Linked DNA regions of Diceros bicornis minor. The protein of the gene in region 2 interacts with the protein of the main gene of each other region in a pairwise test. Links are inferred from orthologs where the notes say so. Each region holds a gene or a part of one and is shown on either strand. Other genes may lie near its edges.

Region 1 (8,323 bases), on a different chromosome or scaffold from region 2:
AATACAACTGCAGTTAAGCAAGGGAGAAAGAACAAGGTAAGTCTGGCCAGATGCATAGGGCCAGACAAGGCCACGTGGGCCAAATTAAAGAAATTATACTTTAAGAACCAGGGAAGTCATTACTGTGTTTGAAGCTCGGTGTGAGGTAATTAGACTTGTATTTCAAAACCATCAAGTCTGGCTGTGATATAGAAAGGGAACTGGAGGTAAAGAGGGGATCTAGGGACACTAGTTAATTAGTAATTAAAACAAGAGGTAACGAAAGCTTGTAGGAGGATAAACTGGTAGAGATGGAGCAGTAGACAGAGTCAAGAGATTTTGTGGTTATAATGCTTCAGATTTATTGGATTACCTATGAGAGTAAGGAAGAGGAAGGAGTTGGGGACAGCTCCCAGGTTCCTGGCTTACATCAATAGTTGGGTGGCTGTCCATTCAGAGAGGAAAGAGAAGTGAAATGGAGATGATCCTAAACTTAGTTTTTAATATGCTGAGTTTGAAGTATCCCTGAGACAGCCACATGAAGATATCAAGAGAGCCACTTGATATATGAGCTTAGAGTTCAGAAAGACTTGGGTTAGATGTAAGTTTGTGAGTCAACTATACAGATGTTGTTAATGGAGCTAGGAACGTGTCAGAGATCATCGAGAGAGAGATTATAGTGAGAAGAGGGCCTGCAATTGACCCCTGAATAAATCTAGGAAATTGGGATAGTATATCCAGGAATCAGCAGGTTTTTTTTTTAAAGAGACAAAATAATTCAGTAATATTTAAGGCTTGTGGGCCACCTAGGTCTCTGTTGCATATTCTTTTCAAAACAACTCTTTAAAAACGTAAAAATATTCTCGCTGACCCCTGGCATATATCAACAACTTTTTCTCAGTTTAGCTCTGAAAAGGAGGAGATTAGGTGGTAATTTGAAGATTTGAGGTAGGTGGTAATTTTTCTTTAAAATTGGAGAGAGATGAAACCAACGGGAATAATCCAAATCAAAACAAAGAAGTCGAAAATACAACAGAAAACATAGGATAAAGTCCCTCAGAAGGCTAGAGGGATGGGATTCAAAACAGATTGAACAATTTGCCTCTAAGGAGAGCAATTCCTCCATTTTAACTAAACTAAAAGGAAGAAGTTAAATAGGATGGTCTAGATACATCTGAGGTGTCTCAAAGGAGACAATCCAAAACACCAGTAGCTTAGGTAAGTATTGCTTCTTCATCAAATTAAGATGAAGACACAGCTCTATAGTTGCCTAGAGGTTTCCAGGCCAAATAATCTGAGTATAGCCCTATAAATAAGTATGGGAAACTATGGGTAATTTAGCTCTGAAGTTAATAAAAATACAATAATGTAATTTTAAAAATGAAGCTACTTGAAACAATATATATATGAGATTCATGAATTTAAAAATTAAAAAAAAAAAGATGACCACTGTAGTGTGTTTTGGAACTAGTATTTTGGATTATCAAATGGGAACATTTTACAACACAGAAAAATTAAAAGAATCCTAAGTGTTGAGAAACATAAAAGAGAAACTAATAGGAATTCTAGAGGAAGGAAAAAAAGGAATAGATGGAAAACAAGTATTGATCCAACAATACAGCAACTTCTTGAGCTAAAAAAAATGAGTGTTCAGATAGAAAAAGCTTACTGACTCACAGGCAAGATTTTTAAAAAAGACAAATGGAAACAGGTGAAAAACAAGAAAACTCTACTGGGCTCTACTATTTAGTACTTGTTCTTTTTTTTTTTCTTTTTTTAAGTTTAGTTCCCACGTTGAATCCAATTTTATTTCCTTGATCTTAATAATGACAACTTTAGACTCCAAGCAGCTACAGAATATATATAATATTAAGAATGTATAGTGGATTTTTCTCAGATAATGAACACCATCATAATTATGTAAAATTCCAACTTGCTCCATTTGGCCACATGAATTGCACGAGTCATTTCTAAGGGAGTTGATGGAGGCTGTCTTGTTAAGCCGTCTCAGATTCCTCACATCAAAATATTCAGCTCACTCAAAATGTGGTGGGGGAAGGGTGGGATTTCTTTCAATTTACATTGTTTGCTTCCTCCCAGCTGAGTCAGTATATCTGAGATGGTAGTGTGTTTTACAACCCTATGTACAGAGCTGAAAGATGACCACCAAGACGCTAGAAAATGTGGATTCTAGAAGGCCTGCAAAACTCAAAACCGTTTCCAACAACTGAATACCTTTTAGTTGTTCCACCACATTATTGAGGTATTTTATGAGCTCCGGATCAGTAGTTACAAGCAGGGTGAGTCCATATTTCTGCACTCGAGTAAAGGTTTCAGATGGATATATGCCACGCTGATATAAAATGCTATTGATGCCAAATGCTGAAAAGAAAAAAAATGTTGAACTTATTATCACTTTGTAACTCGGGAAAACAAAACATTTAGATCTGGCTTTGGTTTCATTAATGGTATGTCTGTAAATGCCTGAACAGACGTGTTTGTGCGGGTCTTGCTGAAAGCACAGTAGGTACAAAATTTCATTAAAAATCCTTGAAGTCTTGCTTCTAAGTAAAAGAGAGAAAGCAATGCCTGCATTTTGTGGCAATAAAAGAAAAATGCCAAACTGCATTAATCTACCACTGCCAAATTTCATTTCATTGTAATCCAAGTCCAAATTCAGATTATGTGGTTCGGGGATGTCAAAGAGGCTTCGGCGCGCGTTAGCAACTGACTGGCTGGTCCAAGGCCCCGGGCAAACCTCTCTCTGTCTTTTTCCTCCTTTTCCTCTCACAAGTCCTGCCAGGTTCTAACAGAAGGAAGGACCGGCCAGGTGCAGAACAGCGCTTCCCAAAGTCGAGTGCATCACCGCCAACCCCAGAATCACCCACACGTGCCCCCCGCCCCGGTCGCATTACGTCCCAAGGCCCTGGGGCGGCGGGGGGGCAGACACGGATCTGCACTTTAAAGAACCGCCCCAGGGCAGGGGCCGTACCCGGCGAGGCAGGCCGCCGCAGCACCGAGGCCTCCTCCTCCGCCATTAGCACCGCGGCCGGGGGAGACGCCCGCACCCGCCTCTCCCCAGATTCCTCCGGCCGGACGGGAGGCCGGGACAGACAGGGCTCGAGTTCGCGGCCGCTGCGGGCCCCCCGGCTTCCCCGCCGCGGAGCCGAGCCGCGGGCCTACCGGGCGGCCTGCCCCGGCCTCCCCGCCCCCGGCCTCCGCCAGGAGGACTCACAGAAGAACTCGGCCACGATCTCGGCGCTCCCGCGCAGGGTGATGCCTTGCTCCCGGGAGAGCTGCAACGCCATGGCCAGGCCACAGACGGAGGCGCGCGCTTCCTCGGGGGGGCAGGAGCAGCAGGGGCTCTCGCAGCAGTTGCCCGCCACTCGTTTCAAAAGTAACGACGCAGCACGCCGTCGGGCCCTTCGCGCAGGCGCGACCAGCCTCTAAGCCCCGCCCCCGCGACGGGCGCAGGCGCAGTGGGTCAGCGTGGTCACGCTGTGCCGGGCGTCCTAACCCGGTGGGTGTCTGCGGGCAGTTCCCGTTGCGGTCGGCTAGGTGGAGCGGAGGGAGGAAGACGGCACGTCCCGGTCTTGTTGGCCGCTCCCTAGGCCTGCAGACTGAGCGACCGAGGAGCACAGATTCTGCGTTCGGAAGATATTTTCAAAATGATATGAACTCCCCAGGGATCCCTAGTGGAGGGCTGAGACTTGGGCTGGACACGTTGGGAGTTCGGAAGGCAGCGGCGCACAGCCGAGCCTCGGCTTTAGAGGCCTCGATGGCTGTGGGAGCGCGGCTTTTCCCGAGAAACTGGGGTGGGGGCCAAAGGGGCGAACCGCAGCCGTTTTTCTGCCTAGTCTGCGTCTGCCCTGGGCTCCGCCCGCCTCCACCCCCAGCCCCCTGCGCGGCCGAGTCTGGGGCGGCTGGGGGTGCAGCTTGCTCTCCGTCCGCCCTGCCCACCCGCAGGCGGCTGGTCAGGAACAAGGTCACCTCGCCAAAAAGGCCCCTCAACACTGAAGAACTTTTCCGTGGATTTTGACGCACAAATTCAATGACTTCATGTTAGGATGAGAGGTATAAAGGAGATGGTGCACAATTAATGTTCATGGCCGTTGTGAAACGAGTTTATTCTTGTAGCAGGTGGAAAGATTATTTGTAAAATGCAGTCTGAAAAACTGTACCAGACATACTGTGTTATTTAATTATATGAGAAATGGCTGAGTGTATTAGTTTTCTATTGCTGCAGAACAAATTACCACGAATTAGTGGTGTGAACAGGCGTTTATTATGTCAGTCCCGTAGGTCAGGAGTCTGGGCGTGGCCTAGCTGAGTGTTCTGAAATAAAGGCGTCTGTGCGTGGGATCTCGTCTAAGGGCTGGGGTCCTCTTCCAAGCCCCTTGGTGGTTGGCAGGATTAACGTCCTTGTGGTTCTTTGTCTTGCCAGCTGTTGGCCAGAGGCCAGGTTTGTGCCTTTGCCAGGTACAGTAAGCCTTCTCACACTTGTAGTCTCCCTGACTTCAGGGAGTTCCCTTTTAAGGGCTTGCCTGACTAGGTCAGACCCGGTCAAACAGTTTCTCCTTTGATGAACGTAATCCCAGAAGTGATAGGCCCTCATATTCACAGGTTCTGGCCCCGCTCAAGGGAGAGGAGTTATATAGGATGTGCTCCCTAGAGACCAGGAATTTTGGAGGCCATCTTAGAATTCTGCCTATCACAGTTATATATCAGATTTTGATCACTTTGAAGATTAAAACATAGGTATAATAAGTAAGAGGCTGACGACCCAACAAAATATTTTCCTTACATCCTTCAGTCTCTGTGGTACGTGTGTGTATCTGTGTGTGTAAATCACCATCTTTTCACTCCTTGCACCAGGAACTTGAGTTAGAGTGCAATGCTACCTTACTGTGTATACAAATTGTCTCTCTTTCTAAGGAACTTTATGTTAATACTCAGCAATTCAGGAAAGACTTCCTTAGGTTTCATAGTAATATAGCTTGTAAATTAGCTGAAGATGCAAATAATTGTTAGTATAATTTTGGAGATTCTAGAATTTAAAAGGCTAGCAAAATGTATTTTTCCATGTATAGATGAAGTATTTTTTAAATACTTTATTTGTGCTCTGTGAGGAGATATAAGAAATAATTAAGGCTTAGAAGGTGTGGTCTGTGCTTTTTGAGTTTATAATCTAGTTTTGATTAAATATGCATACTTAAGGGGAAAAAAAAAGAAAAATTAAAGGCTTACAAATTTGACCTTACTTGCCTTCTGCCTACCTGGGCAGCCCTGTACTTTCCTAGTCTGCCTGATCCTTTAGTAACTTTTCCATCTCAGGGTTTTTCATAATGTGCTTTCCTCTGCTTAGAAATTTCATTTTATCTGTTCAAATTTCAAGTTATGTTTATATTCTTCTCTTTTTTTTTGCTGAGGAAGATTCACCCTCAGCTGACATCTGTGCCAGTCTTCCTCTATTTTATATGTGGGATGCTGCCACAACATGGCTGCTGATGAGTGGTATAGGTCTACGCCCAGGAACTGAACCAGTCCGCGGAAGTGGAGCGCACCGAACTTAACCACTAGGCAATGGGGCCAGCCCCTATATTCTTTTTTTAACTTAAATGTTGTATTAAAGAAATTTTCTTTGACCCCTCAGACTATAAGGTCCTGCTCTTAGGCATTTTCATAGCATTTCATAGTGCTATTTCAGAGCATTGCTTTCAAGGTCAGAATGAAAATAATTACCTTGTTATGATTATAGAATGATTTGAGTTCCATCTTCCCTGTTTTGGTGGAGGATCCATGATGATATTTGGTGGGTGCTCCACAAATATTTGTTGAAGGAATGAGCATTTGAATAGTTTCCTAGGAAAACTTGACAGAAGAACCGAAAACATTTTCCCATTGGAGAGCAGCTTGGATGGATGAGGTGAGGCCACATTTAGGGAGCTCTGAATACCCATCTATGTTGATTGAACTGGAAGTACCAGGGATTTCTAGGTTCTTAGGATTGAAATGATTAGCGGGACATTTTCTCAGGTGTAAATTCAGTAATGGTTGTAGAAATGATTGTGTACAGGACGACTGTGAGTGGTAGTCCTCAAACTTAAGAATGTGAAAGAATCACTTGGGTATTTTGCTAAATATGTATTTTCCTGGCTTCTATTCCCCCTTCTCCAAGCCTGAGTCAGTCCAGTACCACAGCTACTAGCCATGGGTGGCTGCTTCAGCATTTAAAATGTGCTGGTCTGAACTGAGATATGCTACAAGTATGAAATACCTGATTTCAGAGACGATAAAAAAAGAATGTAAAGAATTACATTGATATGTTTTTTAATTAATTACATATTGAAATGATATTTTACATGCATTGGATTAAATAAAACATATTATTAAAATAATTTCACTTGTGTCTTTTTAGCTTTTTAATCTGACTACCAGAACATTTAAAATTACATATGTCACTCATGTTATATTTCTATTGGACGGTGCTGGTCTACTTTATGGGGTTTAAGAGATGACGTGTTTTAACCAGCGTCCCAAATGATTCTGATGCAAGTTCTTAAATCACTTTTTGAAAAGCAGTAGACTATGATGGATATTTTAGCCATGCAGGCCTAGGAGGTTGAGAGCCTGGCCTAGATGGATGCCAGAGAGTTTGAATAAGAAGGCACCACATCAGGGGCTGGCCCTGTGGCTTGGCGGTTAAGTGCATGTGCTCCACTACTGGAGGCCTGGGTTCGGATCCCAAGTGCGCACCGACGCACAGCTCGTCCAGCCATGCTGAGGCGGCGTCCCACATACGGCAACTACAATGCTGTGCAACTATGACATACACCTTTCTACTGGGGCTTTGGGGAGAAAAAGGAGGAGGACTGGCAATAGATGTTAGCTCAGGGCCAGTCTTCCTCAGCAAAAAGAGGATGATTGGCATGGTTGTTAGCTCTGGGCTGATCTTCCTCCCCCCCCAAAAAAAGAAGGTACCGCATCAGAGCAAGACATTTTAAAACAAGAATTGAGTTGATGACTGATATGGAGGAAGAATGAAATGGTAGTGCAGATAACTCCAAGGTGGCAAGCCTGTAATACAGAGTAGAGTTGTTCAAAGCTATGGGATATTAGGAAGAGCTGCCCAAACTCTGAACCTGTTCTATTTCTTATTTATCATGATAACTCTTAACGATTCTAGGGAGAGGTTCAAGATGGCAGTGCAGGAAGGCCCTAAACTCACCTCCTCCCACAGATACAAGAAATTTACAGCTACATATGGAATAATTTTCCTCTGAAAAGGACCTGAGAACTGGACAAACAGCACCTCTGCAGCAAAGATAAAAGAGATGCATCAAGAAGGGTAGGAGAAGCAGAGACTTGGTCTCGGCCGGGAGCCCATCCCAGTGTGATGTCCCACAATCAGGAAGGGATCTGTAAATATGGAACTTTCCCTTGAGGATTGAAGGGATTGTGCCACACATCAGGCACTCTGATCCTTGAGCCTGCCACCAGAAAGACAAGCCTGCAAAACATCTAGTTTTGAAAATCAACAGGGATTAAGTCCAGGGGAAACACGGAACTGTAGGAAATGGAGAATCTGCTCTTACAGGGCTTGTGTAGACACACTTGCCTTGAGATCCAGTGCAAAAGCAACAGTTTGAAAAGCGCCTAGAGCATAAGTGAGGGAGACCCACTTACCAATCCTACAGTGGCTGATGGAGAGGCAGGGACCTGCAGAAAATCTCTCCAGAGACAGAAACACTGGTGGATGTCATTTTCACAATCTCATTCTAACTTCATCATGACGGAGCTGGCAGACGCCACTTCTGGTGCCCGTCCTTAAACCTGTTAACACCAGTGAGCATGCTCTGCACCTTGCCCACTCCATACAGCAGCTGCGCCACAACCAGGACAGGTGAGCACCCTGCACCCTGCCCTCCCTGCACAGCAGCCACACGGTAACTGGGCCGGGCAAGTGCCCAAAGCCCCACCCACCCCAAGCAGCAACTGCACTGCAACCAACCTACGCAAGCGTACCACACCTCCATCTCCCTGTGTAGCACCTGTGCTGCAACCAGGCTGGGTGAACACCCCACACATAGCCCACCCCGTGCAGCATCAGAACTACAACTGGGCCAGATGAACACCCTGAGCCCTGCTGACCCTGTGCTGCAGCCACACCACAACTGCACTGTGCGAGCATCTCGCCACAGCCGGCAGGGGCAAGCAGTCTGCATGAAGGATGACCCTTGAGTGTCTGGCTCTGGAGACCAGGGAAGATTGCACTTCTGGCCCCACAGATCCTCATCATCACTGTGGAAATTCACAAGACCACTCCTTCAAGACTGAGAGAGGT
Region 2 (9,321 bases):
CTAGACAGTGGTAATCATTGTGCAACATTGTGAATGTCCTGAATGTCACTGACTTGTACACTTGAAAATGGTTAAAATGGTAAATTCTACGTTATGTGCATTTTACCACAATAAAACAAATCAAACAAAAACAATACTCCAATGTATTTGAATAAGAGTCAGAAATGGAGATTTTAAGAAAAACAGAGCTCTGTGGAAATGATGAAATATACCCCCATGGGGAGCAGGATGGACAGATATCAAGCTGGGTAAGTATAAGACGTCTGTTTTCTTTTTTTCTTGAAATACAATTGACACATAACATTGTGTAAGTTTAAGGTGTACAGTGTGTTGGTGTGATACATTTATGTATTGAAATATTACCACAGTAGCGTTCGCTAACAGCTTTATCATGTCACATATTTATTTTTTCTTTTTTGTGTTGAAGACAGTTAAGATTTAGTCTCTTAGCAACTTTGAAGTTTGTAATGCAGTACTGTTGACTATAATCACTATGCTGTGCATTAGATCTCCAGAACTTATTTTTCTACTAGTTGTAAGTCTGTACCCTTAAACCACATCTCTCCAATTCCCCTACCCCCCAGCTCCTGGTAACCACCACTCTACTCTCTATTTTTACAAGTTCCAGATGTCTATTTTCTTATACCAACTTCACGCCTTGTCTTTATATCCTCAAGGTTCCAAAAAAGGAAAAGTAAAACCCATGGAAAAAATATGAGAATATTGCACCATACTATAATAACTTGTCGATGCAAATCATACATGAGTTGTATCAGAGAAGAGAGAAAGAGAAAGAAAGAACAAGGAAAATTTTAAATATTTGAATTGATTAGGTATTTTGAGGAGAATGGATAGGTCTCCCTGTTTCTTGGGGTAAAAGTTATTTAGGTTGATTCTAGACTTTGCTGCAATGAATATCCTTGTGAATACTTTTTACACTCACGGGAGTATTTCTGTACAGCATATAAATTCCTAGAAGTAAGACCAGGAAAAAGGGTCAATGTGATTTACATGTTGAAAGTCATTGCCAAATCACCTCCCATTGGATTGAACTAATTTATACCAGTGATTATGAGAATGTCTGTTTTCTCACAAACCTTCATATTATGTTACCTTTTTTTCTGATTGTTGATAAACTCAGTAAAAATGACATGGACATATCTCTAACCATGAGGAAGCCTGAACATCCTTTCATATGTTTAAATACCTTTTGTATTTCTCTTTTTTTTCCTTTTCAGTGGTCTGTTTCTGTGAGCTGCCTATTCATATCCTTTGCCATTTTAATTTTGGCAAACAAGAGTTTGCTTTTTTCCTCATTGAAAAAAATTAATATTATGTATTGTATATTACAAAATATCATATAATGCATGCCCTTTATCTGTCACTTAAAGGATATATATTTTTCTCACTTTAAAAAATCTGACTTGTGATTTTATGTGTGAATATTTTTTCAATTCATATGCTCTTAATTTTTATATAGCTAAATTTGTTATATTTAAATTTCAGATTTGGGATTTGTGTTTTGCTTCAAGAGACATTCCCCACTTTGAAATTATAACACAAAATTTCTGCATTGTAGAGTCTTATGGTTTCATTTTTGAATAGCTATGGAATTCAGCAAATACATTTTTAGTAGCATAGAGATGCTCATGCACCTTCCTTCCTTGGATCTATGAATACAGTGAGCTGGATGGCTCGACTTCCGGGCATTGAACTATCTTTGCACTCCTGGTCCAAGTTTCACTTGCTCCTGGTGTTGGTGTTGTGTTCATTTCATCTTCTGTCTGGTTCTGTTAGTAAATTCTTGATGCTGGATTTTTGCACTGTTACTCACAAGTGAAATCAATCTGTAGGTTTTTTTTCCCCCCATTCCTAAATGTAATGTATTAAAGCAGTTTCCATGACAACACAGGAGTCAGCATTTACATTTGGTTTCCTGCTTTAATGAAATGGAAAACAGCTAGTTTGAGGGAGATTATGCCAAAAGGATCTGCTAAAGGAAGACCCCAGTGGGCTGGTGGTGAGGTCTCCCGGAGCCCTCTGTGACAGGCAACAAAAGTCGAGAATATGCTGCTATATCCATGAACCACAGAACGGTATCTCTCTTTAGATGATGCATTCAGAGGACAATGTGTTTAAATGTCAGACCAAAGACAGTCTAAGAAAAACAAAGCAAAGCAAGAAGCCCCAAATGGTTTTTCAAAACTTTTTAAACTTTTTATATTGACATGATGTCAGATTCCCAGAAAAGTTGCATGAATAGTACAATGAATCCCCGTGTGCACACTCTTTATCACATTTACCAATTTTATCACACTTGATCACATCTGCTTCGTCCTCTCTTTCTCTGTCTCATTTTGTTTTGTTTTCTTTCTTTTTTTATTGCAGTAACATTGGTTTATAAGGTTATATAAATTTCGGGTGTATATCATTATATTTCGATTTCTGCCTAGATTACATCATGTTCACCACCCAAAGACTAATTACCATCCATCATCACACACATGTGCCTAATCATCCCTTTCACCCTCCTCCCTACCCCCTTCCTCTCTAGTAACCACCAATCCAGTCTCTGTCTCTACGTGTGTGTTTGTTGTTGTTTCATTTTTTTTTGGAACCACGTGAGAGTAAGTTGCAGACATAATGTCCCTTTCCCCTACATCCTTCATTCAGTGTGAATTTCCTCAAAGCAGAGGCAGTCTCTTACATCACCTCAGTACAACGATCAAAATTAATATTGATACAATACTATTATCAAATTGACAGACCTAATTGTCCCAGTAATGTCTTTCACTACGCAAGAAAATCCAGGAGCAAATTTGATCACTTAATTAAGGTGGTTTCTGCCAGCTTCCTCTTCTCTGAGGCTACTATTTTTGGTTTCTTTTATTATTGACAAGTATCTGGCAGAGAGATACTTGGAGACCATGGAGATGTCCTGTTACTTCTCAAACTTCCAACCATTAGTTTTAGCATTCGTTGATGGTTCTTGTCTGAATCAATGATTTTGGAGATTGGCAAATGGTGATTTTCTACTTCCATTCCAAGGATTTTAACAAAAGGCAGAGGTTGACTTTCAATTTTTAGGTGCTTGGTTTTTTTTCGGGGGTGGGAGCGCGGTGATTAGCAAAAGAAACAATGAGTGGTTTTGCGAAGTGGTGGTGTCTTAATTTTCTCCTACCAAGTCACAACTGAAATGATTCTTTTGACTTTCTACCCAACAGGGAAGTCCTGCGTCCTGAAGGATTTCCAGAGGACAGCATCTCCCCTCTCATGCCTTTTCAGCACAGGCTGCCTGCCTAGAATTGTGGTGGGCTTGGGGCTCCCGTGGGTCAGAAGGAAGCCCACAGCTCCGGACAGGTTTGCACAAGAAGGAAGGGGAAAGATATTTATTGAATGCACAATTCTCGACACCCCAGGACTGCAGCTGCCTTCTTTTTGTTCTCCCTGGGTCCATTCTTGCCCCATCGAAGACAGTGAGATACTATTGGAAATAAAATCTAATTATGTTAACCCTTTGATGTAAATTGTGCCTCTTCATTGCCTTTAGGGTAAAGGTGGAGGCGGTGGGAGGGATGCTTAATGGAATATCCAAGGTTGCACCCCTTCTAGTCCTGCCTTTGAGTTCAGCCTTCTCTCTTCTCTTTCCGTGCTCCAGCTCCAGTGACTGGTTCAGTTGCGAGAACACCTGCCTGTCCTCCTCTGTGCCTTTGCACATGCTGTTCCCTCTACGTGGAACACTGATGCTCCCGTTGACTGGCTCCTCCTCCTCCTCTTCAGATTTCAGCTCCAAATCACTTCCTCGGAGCATCCTTCCCTATCCCCTCTGCCCCACCTTATAACACGGATGATTGTTTAACTAACGCGACCCCCCACCCCCACAGTGAAGTCTACAAGGAAACGCACTGTGCTTATTTTGCTCACTGTGAATCCCTCTTACTTACTGTGTGTTGACTCTTCCATTCAACAAATATTTATTACGCAACGGATATGTCAGGCACTGGGTGTGAAATAGTGAACAAGACTGGCAAGATTTCTGCTTTCATGGGGAGGGGCGAAGAGACAAAAAAAAAAAATAAGTAAGAATTTCAGGTAGAGATGCTGGTGTAATATGAATCTCGGGGAAGGGAACAAAGAAACGAGCGGCTGGCTCTGGTCAGGGAAGGCTCGCAGGAGAGGAGAGGTGGAGCCCGGCACTGGACGGACAGGGGAAGGGGGGAACGCCAGGGTAAAGGCCTGGAGGCAGGAATAGGTTTGGCGTCTTGGAGAAACAGCGGGCCCAGCTCCTGAAAATGAATGCCCTCCGCCTAGAATTGTGTGGAGTGCTTTCCCAGGCTGTCTTCCCCGTGCGCTTCCCCAGATTTGACACGCAGGTATTGTTACATCCATTACACAGGTGAGGCCACCCCGGAGAGAGTGAGGTCCCTCCGTCCAAGGCCTCACACAGTAAGGCTTCCTGTACTCTTTCTGGCTTCCTGTACTTAGGGCCCCTCCCCCCCTTCAGTAAGGTGGGTTGACCATTGTCATGCCCTATTCATGAGTGACATCTGCTAGACATTCAGACACACATGAACTTTGGGTCTGCGGATTCAAAATCGGGTGTGTCCACCTGCGCGGGATCCAGGGTCTAGTTTGCATTTTTGGGAGGTTCTGCACATTCTCCCCGGTTTCATTTCTCCAACTGGAACCCCACGCCGCGCTGAGGGGCCCCGGCCACGGAGCACGCCGAGCGCACGGGGCGCGCGTGCACGTGGCTGTCCCCAGGGTCCCGGCGCTGGGCGGGGGCGCACTCGGGGCAGGACATCTGGGGCGCCCGCGCTCTAGGACGAGACTCACTGATAGGCCTGAGACGAGGGAGAGGCGAGTGCAACATTTAAGGGAGTACCGAAAAACCGAGTGACCAAGATAAATAATATTTTAATGTAATATTTTTAAAAAGCAAAATGAATACCCCACAGTCCACGAGGAACAAAATAGGAAAATGTTAAAGACGGGATCGGTCTGGCTGGCTCCGGCATCTGGGGCGCCCCCAAGCTCTGAGACCAGAGACGCGGGCTGTCTGGAGCACTCGGCCCGGGCGGGGATCTGGGGCGCCCCCTCGGCTGGGGCGCGCCAGGGGCCTCCAGCGCGGGGCCCAGAATAGGGAGGCCAGCGGACGGGGCGGGGCGGCGCCTCCCTCTGCGCGTCCTCCCTCCACCCCTCCTGGGCCTCTCCCGGGCGCCGAGTCCCTTCCGAGTCCCGATCCGCGCCGCCTTTTGCCGCGGCCCGCACGGGGCCCAGCTGACGGCCGCGTTGTTTACGGGCCGAGCAGCCTTCGCTCCCGCCGCCCGCCCGCCACCCGCCTGCCCAGGTGCCCGCCCGCCCGTCCGCGCGTCCGGCTGTCTGCGCGTCCGTTTGTCCGCGCGTCCGCAGATCGTGGCCAAGAGCGCTCGGGGCCGAGAGCCAGGAAGCCCGGGCGCAGCGCGAGGCTCCGGGCCCTGAGATCGCGGGACGGGACCCGGGCCTCAGTAGCCCGGGGTCGGGGCCGCCTCCGCCGAGCCGCGCCGCCGGATTTGTAGCGGCCGAGGCCGCGCGCCCCTCCGGGGGCTGATTCAAGGAGCCTCCCGGGCGGGGGCTGCGACCCGAGGGCCGCGGGCGTGGAAGAAAAGGACGCGCGGCCCCCAGCGCCCCTCGGGCGGCCACCTCGGAGCATGACCCTCGCGGGCCGGCGCCGCGCGCTCTGATCCGTCGGGACCCCGCGCTCCCGCAGCCATGGGCGCCGGGGGCGGGCGGGGGGCGGCGGCCGCGCCGTTGCTGGTGGCCGTGGCCGCGCTGCTGTTGGGCGCCGCGGGCCACCTGTACCCCGGAGAGGGTGAGTCTGGGGTCCGGGAGTGGGCGGGGAGTCGCGCGGTGGGGAGGCGATCCCTCGCCAAAATGGAGCCCCAGCTGTGGACCAAGAGCCGTCCCGGGTGGGGAGGTGGGTGGCCGGGGCGGTCACTCTGGTCCCGCGGGGGGCGGGAAGCCGCTGACCTTGGTCTTTGCCCGCCTGGGCTCACGGCTCCGCGCCCCGCGTGCCGGCCCCGGGCTGGAGCAACCTTGCGCCAGTGCCTGCTCTGCCGCGGGCGCCTCTCCGGAGCGCGCCTCGGACCCGTGCCTGGCTCTCTCCGTCCCCAAGTCGCTCCGGAGAGGGGATACACGTCCTCTCTGGGTCGCCTCCGAGAAGTGGGGTCCCTGGGTCCGGGCGGCCACGGACAGCCAAATGCGCGGGGCGCACACGGTTAGGAGCCGGAGTCGAGGGTGACAGACTGGGGGTCCCTTGGGGTCGCTGCTGCTAGGTGACGCTGCCCCGGGGAGGGGAACTGTAGAATCCCTCCATCCCCTTCCTGGGATCGAGGCCCGTGGCTACCCCGGACTTCAGGTCCATGTTTACACTTTGGGATTCTGTTTCCAGATGTCCGGAGGCAAACTCCGGCGCCTTGGGAACAGCACAGTTATAGTAGCAGAAGGAGTGGACGTTTTTATCATGATTATTATAGTGGGTGTCACCGAATGTCACGGGCTGCGCCATCCTATCTCTCTGGACCCTCAGAGTGGCCCCTAAAGGTTGACGCTGTTGTTCGCCCATTTCATAAAGGAGTAAACTGAGGCTCAGAGAGGACGCATAACTTACTGCCCCAAGTCAGTGCCAGAGGGAGGGCTGGAACCTCTCTGTGTGGTGCCCGCCCAAGGCTCTGGACTGCTGCCGGGGCTCCCTGCTAACCTCCCCCTCCAGCTCCGCCCGTCATGAAGCGGTCTTTTGCCGTCAGACTTGGGAGGTCTCTAACCTTGGATGAGCCTCTCATGCGCCCTAACCCCGAGGGCCTCCCTCCTGCGTGTCCCTGTGTGGCAGCAGACAGAGGCCAACCCCAACCCCAGCATGCTTCTGCGGCTTGACAGCAGGCCTTTCTGGTTGTGGGACAAGGACTGAAGAATCGTTTAAGAGAAGATGGCTGGAGATTCTCACCGTGGTGTCTGAGGCTGTGCTTTAAAAATATCTGTTGGGTTACTTCTTCAGATTTCTCCATAAAAGGAAATCAGTCATGATGAGGAAGGGGTTGGGGAGGAAAAAGAGGCTCCTTGAGTTCCCTGATGGTGAGTGAGGTGTGGGAGAAAGCATACACAGGCTCAGGAGTTGAAAACCAGGTTTGCTGAGCGCCTCTGCCAATTACGCAATGTCTTGATGCCCCCGTATGCCTGGTGTACAGTGAGCGCTCAATGAAGGAAGGATGGCAATTGGTTTAGGTTCTTGTTAAGAAAATCCAAGACAAGTTGTCAGACCTACGCCAGGCTTTGTGGTTGTGTGTGTGTATGCATGTGTGTACGTGTGGTTCCCTGTTCCTCTGTTCCTTGTGGCTTTGGTAATTAATTGTGGATTTACGCCTGGGCTTCCAGGAGTGAACAGATGGATTTACCACTTGGTTACACATTTACAGTTCCCACAAGGGCAGAGGCTTATGTGTATTTCATTCACTGCGACATTTCTAGAGCCTAGAACGGTGCCTGGCACACAGTAGGCATCTGGTAAATATTTCTTCTTGATTCAACTCTTTTCCTTCATGTCCTCACTAGTCCACCAAGCCACTGCTCCTTTATTCTCCAGATAATACCTAACTAACAAGAATAAAAGGAAACACTCAGTGGGAGCTGTGCCATATGCTTTGCATATATAATCTCAGTTAATTCTCACCATGACCCTATGAGGTAGAGTCTGCCCTCTCTTTTTGCAGGCGAGCAACTTGACCTGGTTACAGAGCTGGAATTAGAGCCCCAGCTTGTCTGGCTGCAGAGCACTGGCTTCTCAATAAAAGGTTGTTCATTGGGGTCCCAGCCTCCCCATCCCTACCCTGCGGTAATGGTTAACAAAATCCTATCAAATACATGAGATGTGAGGCCCCTCAGAGGTTTGGAGAGGGGCGAGAAAGTTTACAGATCATTAATCTCTTACATCAACTGACACGACATTTTGGCGGGGCTGGGCGGTGGAGGGAGATCAATGTGATTTTTCAGGAATGAAGGACTCTTTCTTGGAGATGTTGTATGGGATGTTCCACCCTGGTTCATTCTCCTGTGGCGTCTCTGTTGCTTTGCTGAAGAGGGCAATGGCTTTCCCCGCCATTTCTCCTTGGATTGGCTGGCTCTGGTCTGAGATTACTTGGGCGTGGGGTGGGGGGATTGCAAAGCCAGAGAGTGAAGGCAGTGTGGGATTAATTAAAATGAAAACCCACAGAGTTTTAGGGGGGTCCAGTGAGTTGAATAATTGAGGTATGAGATGCTCGCTTCCAGAGCCCCCTCGTTTCTCAGATCCCCCTCGTTTCTGGAGGATGGCATGAGATGTTTCTCTTGTGTGTTCTCTTGTGTGTCCTGGGACCCTTGGAGCAGAACTTCTGCCTGCTCAGTCACCTCCCTGGGGTTACTCCTAACCTCTGCTTCTCTCCTGGAGACTTGCCGTTCATCCCTGCCCCACTGACTTATGGAGGTCATGGGGTTGAGCCCCCTGGGGTCTCCACCTCACCCCACTCCATTGTTGACTTCCATTCTTTTTTTTTTTTTAAGAGTTTTATTTATTTATTTATTTTTTGTGAGGAAGATCAGCCCTGAGCTAACATCCGTGCTAATCCTCCTCTTTTTGCTGAGGAAGACGGGCTCTGAGCTAACATCTATTGCCAGTCCTCCTCCTTTTTTTTCCCCCCAAAGCCCCAGTAGATAGTTGTATGTCATAGTTGCACATCCTTCTAGTTGCTGTTGACTTCCATTCTTAATTTGGTTTAGAGCAGAACCTCTCAGGCTCGGTGCTCCTGGCATTTGGGGTTGGATACTTCTTGGTTGTGGGGGGCCATCCTGTGCATTGGAGGATGTTGAGTAGCATCCCTGGTCTCTACCCACTAAGATGCCAGTGGCCCCTCCCCTCTCCAAGTCATGACAACCAACAGTGTCTCCAGACATTGCTAGCGGTCCCCAGTTGAGAACCACTGCGTTCGGGGAGCTAACTTTTTCCCTGTCTAGAACTCCTACCCAGCTGGGTCTCTGCTCCCTCCTCTCTGTTCGGGGATGTCCATGCACCCAGAAGCCTTTCTCTTTTCAGCCTATAAACACTCAGTACTCTCCCAAACCCCATTACCCACCACTCCCCTCCAGCCTTCTCCTGCCAAGCCTCCCCCAGCAGGTCCTCACCACCCTCGATCTCTCACCTTTCACTCACTGCTCTGCCCATGGCAACTGGCTTGTGTCTCCATCACTTCACCAATGGCTCTAATGAAGGTAATCCCTCACCTCCCAGCTGCGTCTCTGCAGCCTCACCCTAGT

Evidence for each region.
Region 1: the proteins of INSR (region 2) and MAD2L1 interact in binary tests that used the Homo sapiens proteins (3 or more experiments, as listed by UniProt). The link is inferred for Diceros bicornis minor from reciprocal best matches to the Homo sapiens genes INSR and MAD2L1.

The regions. Positions count from the first base shown.
Region 1 is NC_080750.1:13,586,414-13,594,736, forward strand, and holds the start of MAD2L1 (mitotic spindle assembly checkpoint protein MAD2A), read right to left. Parts: upstream 3,372-8,323; 5' UTR 3,288-3,371; coding exon 3,215-3,287; intron 2,362-3,214; coding exon 2,215-2,361; intron 1-2,214. UniProt on the Homo sapiens protein: Component of the spindle-assembly checkpoint that prevents the onset of anaphase until all chromosomes are properly aligned at the metaphase plate.
Region 2 is NW_026691615.1:1,130,635-1,139,955, forward strand, and holds the start of INSR (insulin receptor), read left to right. Parts: upstream 1-5,367; 5' UTR 5,368-5,751; coding exon 5,752-5,851; intron 5,852-9,321. UniProt on the Homo sapiens protein: Receptor tyrosine kinase which mediates the pleiotropic actions of insulin.